Kluyveromyces lactis: one gene and its partner. The protein of the gene in region 1 interacts with the protein of each later gene in a pairwise test. Links are inferred from orthologs where the notes say so. Each region holds a gene or a part of one and is shown in the gene's direction. Other genes may lie near its edges. The genes, in order: ERG27 and ERG7.

Evidence for each region.
Region 2: the proteins of ERG27 (region 1) and ERG7 interact in binary tests that used the Saccharomyces cerevisiae proteins (3 or more experiments, as listed by UniProt). The link is inferred for Kluyveromyces lactis from reciprocal best matches to the Saccharomyces cerevisiae genes ERG27 and ERG7.

What each region holds. Positions count from the first base shown.
Region 1 is NC_006042.1:1,829,512-1,832,352, forward strand, and holds ERG27 (3-keto-steroid reductase), read left to right. Parts: upstream 1-977; coding exon 978-2,018; downstream 2,019-2,841. Other genes in the region: MTC5 (Mtc5p), read left to right, coding at 1-718; SAC6 (fimbrin), read right to left, coding at 2,216-2,841. UniProt on the Saccharomyces cerevisiae protein: 3-keto-steroid reductase; part of the third module of ergosterol biosynthesis pathway that includes the late steps of the pathway. ERG27 is a catalytic component of the C-4 demethylation complex that catalyze the reduction of the keto group on the C-3.
Region 2 is NC_006038.1:888,099-892,038, forward strand, and holds ERG7 (lanosterol synthase ERG7), read left to right. Parts: upstream 1-1,439; coding exon 1,440-3,635; downstream 3,636-3,940. Other genes in the region: MCM21 (Mcm21p), read left to right, coding at 1-380; YFT2 (Yft2p), read right to left, coding at 370-1,173; auxilin-like protein SWA2, read right to left, coding at 3,744-3,940. UniProt on the Saccharomyces cerevisiae protein: Lanosterol synthase; part of the third module of ergosterol biosynthesis pathway that includes the late steps of the pathway. ERG7 catalyzes the cyclization of (S)-2,3 oxidosqualene to lanosterol, a reaction that forms the sterol core.

The sequences.
Region 1 (2,841 bases):
TACATTTTATAACAATGAATACGAGCCATCGCCACATGTTCATTCCACTCACGGATCGTTCTACTCTAATGACACAGGTACACAAAATGCGAGAATGAGATATGGCACCAATCAAGCCTCATTGAACGATGGCTCTTCTATCATATCTGATGATTATTTCCATCAAAATCATCATGCTAACGGAAACAAGAACGGGAAATCCCATAATAATATGAACAATGGGTATGTAGAAACTGAAGCGACAATTCCCGATATCAAGATCAAACTAATTCATGACGATGTTTTGGATCTTGCCTACCAAGGTCTGGAACCTTCGTTGGTAGATCCGAAATGTGAAACCAAGTTCAGACAATATAGAACGCAATATGCAGAGATACTTTATATATGGGGGTTGCCTATGGATAGGGCCGAGTTGTTGAAGTTTAATGTAAATTTAAACACAGAACCTGAATACTTGCATGGGATCGAACAAGATTCGGGATTGGATATTTACAAAGGTGTATCGAATAGGTGGATTGAATCTAACCACGGACACACTCAACAAAACTGTAGCTACTGTGGCCTCAAAGCCGGTAGATTGGTGTTCGTATGCGGTAATTGTCAGCACGTGACTCACAGGACTTGCGCAGAAAAATGGTGGAAAATTGGCGATGAGTGCCCCTCTGGGTGTAGTTGCGACTGTATAAAGAACTTCGATGTCAGCGAACCACTTATATAAAATGCATCTTATGTAGCAGTGTCTTATCGTTCATCTTCTTTTAACCATCAGTCGTTGATACACCTTCTTTCCTGGGTTTTAATGATATTTAAACGAGATGATAAACCTTCCGGAATTCTGAAAGAACTAGAAAACCAAATAGATGGTGATGATGATGCGACACAAGCGAAAAATTCCAGGCTACAGGAACCGTTCCCGTCCATTAGCACTGATTTACGTATACTAGTAGCTATTGAGTACCAATAATTTCAAAACCAGCATGTCTTCGTCAAAGGTAGCAGTGGTCACTGGTACAAACAGTAATTTAGGTTTGAATATCGTATATCGGTTGATTGAGAGAAGCGAGCCAGAGGACAACCTCACGATAGTTGTGACATCAAGAACATTACCTAGGGTTCGTGAATGCATTGATTTAATTAAGGCTTTTGTCAATACCATTAATAGGACTGGCTCTGTAGATTATGATTACCTGCTGGTTGATTTTACCAACATGATCAGCATTCTTGATGCCCACTACAGCTTGTCAAAAAGATACGATCACATCAATTACTTCTTTGTGAATGCAGCTCAAGGAGTTTACTCAGGGATTGACTGGTTGGGTGCAGTGAAAGAGGTCTTCTCCAGTCCACTGGAGGCCGTCACAAACCCAACATATAAAATTCAACGAGTGGGAGTCAAATCAAAGGACGGGATGGGGCTTGTGTTCCAGGCAAACGTGTTTGGACCATATTATCTAATTCAAAAACTGCTTCCGTTACTCCAGGCTGGACAAGGTACTGTCGTTTGGGTCTCTAGTATCATGTCCGCTCCTAAATATTTGTCTTTACAAGATATTCAGCTATTGGAATCCGATGTTTCTTATGAAGGTTCAAAAAGATTAGTTGATTTGTTACATTCTGCAACATATAAAGAGATGAAAAAGCTCGGAATCCGCCAATATCTCACCCATCCTGGTATTTTTACCAGTCTCTCATTTTTCCAATATTTGAATGTTTTCACCTACTATGGTATGCTCTTCTTATTCTATCTGGCCAGATGGATTGGTTCACCTTGGCACAACATACAAGGATACAAAGCAGCCAATGCTCCTGTATATGTAGCAACAATGGCTAATCCGCACTTTGAGAAGGAGCAAATGAAATACGGATCGGCAACTTTTAGAGACGGTTTAGAATATATTAAAACTGATGAAGTTGATACAACCGGCTGTGAAGATGTGTATAAATACATCTCCAATTTGAAACTGCAATGGGATGAAAAGTTAAAAGACCAGATTAAGCCTACAAGGATACCATTATAAATTTTACATAATTCAAATAAATCGTGTAGAATTATTGTTTATCGTAATGTTGCGTGCGAGTTGCTTATAAGTTACATATTAGATGAAGGATCATTTGAAAGTAGTCACATACTATTTGAAAGTGAGGACTTAAGGATTCGAAAATACATATACAGACTTTAGAGCTGAAGTACAGTAAATCTTGAAATATCGCTGTATTATCTCTTTAATGCCATCAAAGAAGCAACGAATGTCAATATCAATCTCGAACGGACTTCGTTGATGTCTTCTGGAACCAACCAGATTAGAGCTCCTAACTTTCTAGCAATAGAAATAGCCAATCTGGCGTTTGCATATCTGTCCTCTTCAGTTTTACCAGGTAACACTAATGAGTAGTCCACATAACCTGGGGCCAAACCATTTAGGACATCCAATAAGAAGTGAGCGTTGGACAACGAAGGATCGCTGAAAGATCTTATGGTGGATGATTTTCCACCCTTGGAAACTGTTTCTTGAGCCCACTTTAAGATTTGGGAATCAGACATATCTCTACCAGTCGTGGCCAATTCATTCATTGTATTGACAATATTCTTACGCATTAACTGCCACACCAAACCTAGCGTTAGTAGTTTATTACCGTCGACAATATCAGAGCCATCAATACCAACCAAAGAGAATCCTCTAGATTTACCTAAATCAACAGCATAGTTAGTATTTTCCAAAGCCTTGAAGCGTGAAAGTTCAGAGTCAGATGATTTCTTGTTGATTACCTTCCAGTTTACAGATCCAGGAATAACCTTATCATATGCCTGTAGAAGTACTAATCCATCCTTTAAGTCTTCGA
Region 2 (3,940 bases), on another chromosome or scaffold:
AATTGTTCAAGCATAATTTACCAAAATACATTAATATCCACCAGCATTGGCAACTAATCACAAAAGATACCGATACTAGTGACTCTAATATCATGAAGTTCGCGAACCTGTGTTATAAAGACCTTTTAAAGGTTCACTCTAGAGTTCAATTTTTCCGTAAGCTTGAGGGAAACTATGTGAATGATAAGCAATATTCATTGCTTCACATCGATAACATGGGGCTGAACGTTTCTTTCAGGCTTGGTGCAGATATAATAAAGATAAAGGTTGACGATGGTGATGACGAGATTATAGACTGTACTTTCAATGGAGAGAAGAATATTTCTTTATTGGGATCTATTTACGGCATAACTAATAGGTTCCAGTCGATTATAATGTAAGGAACTTGTTCACATGTTTGATTCTAGGCAGGATATAATAAATTACCAATAGACAGGAATACCCAAAGGCACATCCCAACACTTTCTCCGGGAATGTGTGATAGTATATTGATGTTATCGTTAGCACATTTATCCAAATGCACAAAACCAGTAAAACAATCCATTGATATTTAGAAGACGGTGAATTCCAGGATATCGTATGTTGGTTCGCATATTGCAGCAAGAGTTTCAACTCCTGCCATAGAGTTAGACTTATGTTTGTTAAGAAACAAAAATGACCACTGATATCAAATCCGCCTACCCAGCTCCCACCTAAAGATCTACATTTCTCTGCAGATTTCGTATCAGAAAGATCGCAGTTTCCTCCCGTCCACACGAAAAGATGGTCGATGAACAAGAAACAGGCCCATAATACCAGGTATACCAAAACAAACTTTATCGAATATACTTTTAGAACTTTCCCAACTTGTTTCAGAAGATCGGGAGAATTACGGTCCTGTTCTCCATTACTAGTGGGTAACAACGATTCCTCGTGCTTCATTCGAACGTATACTTGTAGGCCTATCAATAAACCGAACAATACGTCGAATATGTAGATACCTTTGTAAGCAAATAAATGATTCACTACGTTGCGTCCACCGATCCAGTACCATTCCTTTCTTTCTCTTTCGAGCTCATCTTCACCTATAAGAACCGATATAAAATACCCGAAAATCACAAGAGCTGGATATATGTGCAACCACCAATCACCAGGGACAGGGAACTTGGCCAACACTATTCTATCAGGCCGCATTGGACTTTGTCTTTGTTAACGCCTTCAATCCTTGAGTTCCACAATCCTATTTCTCTATTCCTTTCGAGTAGTGCAACGCCTCGTTCTTCTTCTCAGGTCTTGTCGTTTAAAGTTCCTAACAGGAAAGTTAAACATCTTTTATAGATTTATATATAACGATTATCAACAGATTAGGAAAGACACGTTTAGCCGTTCGGATTCGAGAACATAGATAGTGTTCTTGGCTAATCACTGGAGGTGCTGTATAGCTGTACGGTTTTGTGTTAATGCCAGAACTTTATTCTGAAACTATTGGATTGCCCAGGACGGATCCAAAACGTTGGAGGCTCATCACAGATGACTTGGGAAGACAAACATGGGAATATTTAAGTGAGAATGATAGCAAGAAAGTTCCGCAATCAACTTTTGCACGATGGCTATTGAAATGTGAAGATTTTCCAGAACCGCACCCAGAGATTAATAGCAAGACATCAGGTTTTACTGCTTGGAACGCTGCACATAACGGTGCAAAATTCTTTGAACTTTTGCAGGACCCTGATTCTGGAACATTCCCATGCCAGTATAAGGGTCCAATGTTCATGACAATTGGGTATGTTGTGACGATGTATATTGCCAAGATTGAAATACCTGAGCATGAGAAAGCTGAAATGATTAGGTACGTTGCCAACTATGCACACCCAGTCGATGGGGGATGGGGTTTGCATCATGTCGATAAGTCAACTGTTTTGGGTACTGTACTAAATTATGTCATGATGAGATTGTTAGGTTTACCCAAGGATCACGAAGTTTGTGTTAGAGCAAGGGACACTTTACTCAGGTTAGGAGGTGCCATTGCGTCTCCTCATTGGGCCAAGATATGGTTGTCAATCTTAAATTTGTATAAATGGGAGGGTGTCAACCCAGCCCCACCAGAATTATGGATGTTGCCATACGGATTAAATATTCATCCAGCAAGATGGTGGGTTCATACAAGAGGTATTTATCTTCCGGTGAGTTATTTGTCAAGTACCCAATATAGCTGTGAACTTGATCCCTTGTTGGAAGAAATTAGAACGGAGATTTACACCCAACCGTTCGAGACAATTGATTTCAAGAAACACAGAAATACCGTGTGCGGTGTTGATCTATACTATCCACACACAAAAGTTTTAGACACTATGAATTACTTCATATCTAAGTACGAAAGATACGTTAGACCAAATTGGTTGTTGAAAAAATCCACTAATAGAGTATATGAACTTGTCAAGAAAGAAATTGCAAATACGGATTATCTATGTATTGCACCAGTTAATAATGCCTTTTGTGCAATTGTGACATTGATTGAAGAAGGGAAGGATTCGGAAGAATTTGGTAGATTCCTTTATAGATTCAAGGACGTGTTATTCCATGGACCTCAGGGCCTAACCGTTATGGGGACCAACGGTGTCCAAGTTTGGGATTGTGCATTTTACATTCAGTATATGTTTATGGCAGGTTTGGCTGAATTGCCCGAATTCCATGAAACCATTGTTAGATCGTTTAAGTTCTTATGTCGCTCTCAATTTACTGAGGATTGTGTTGAAGGGAGTTTCAGAGATAAAAGGTTGGGTGCTTGGCCATTTTCCACAAAAACCCAAGGATACACCGTTTCAGATTGTACAGCGGAGGCAATCAAAGCTATCATAATGGTTCTTAATTCCGACAAATATAGAGATGTCTGGGGTGTATATGATACCGAAAAGTTGAAAAACGGCATAGATGTCCTTTTGGGATTGCAAAACTTGTCATCATTTGAATACGGATCCTTCGCTACATATGAGAAGATCAAAGCGCCCTTACTAATGGAAAAATTGAATCCAGCAGAAGTGTTTGGAAATATCATGGTTGAATTCCCATATGTGGAATGTACAGATTCCTCGGTCCTCGGCTTGACGTACTTCCGTCGCTATTTCAATTATCGGAAAAAGGATATCGATCATGCTATTGATTCAGCTATTGCATATATTAAAAAGAGTCAGCAGCCTAATGGTTCTTGGTACGGCTGTTGGGGTATTTGTTACACGTATGCTGGAATGTTCGCCTTAGAAGCGCTAAACACGATTGGAGAAACGTATGAGAATAGCGAAGTTGTTCGTAAAGGGTGTGACTTCTTTGTTACTAAACAGCTTCCTGATGGTGGTTGGTCTGAGAAAATGAAATCTAGTGAACTTCACACATATGTATCGGACAAAGAATCTTACGTTGTACAGACTGCATGGGTGCTCATTGGGTTGATATTAGCAAAATTCCCTGACAAATCAGTTATCGATAGGGCAATTAACCTTTTAAAGCAAAGACAACAACCGTCAGGTGAATGGAAATATGAAGCTGTGGAAGGTGTTTTCAATCATTCATGTGCCATTGAATATCCAAGTTACAGATTTTTGTTCCCAATAAAAGCTCTCGGTCTATATGTAAAAGAATACGGCCACAGTGCAATTTAAATGTGTGTATAGTTTACCGTGGATTTCACAAACAAAGTAATTAAAATCAAGTAATTAAGTGACAAGACTTATGAAGTTTCGTACATATGCAAGATTATAAATAATTTATTAGATGTTGTTTTGGGATTTAAAATATTCCCAAGCCTTATTTAGAATCGTATAAACATTCTCTGCGATCATTATTGTCTCTAAACTTGCATCGGCGGGAATTTTATCTGGATGAGTCTTTGCAATAGCTTTCAAGTAACAAATTTTAACTTTCTTGGTCATGACTAAATCCTGCGGTGAAACTTCCTTCCAAGATG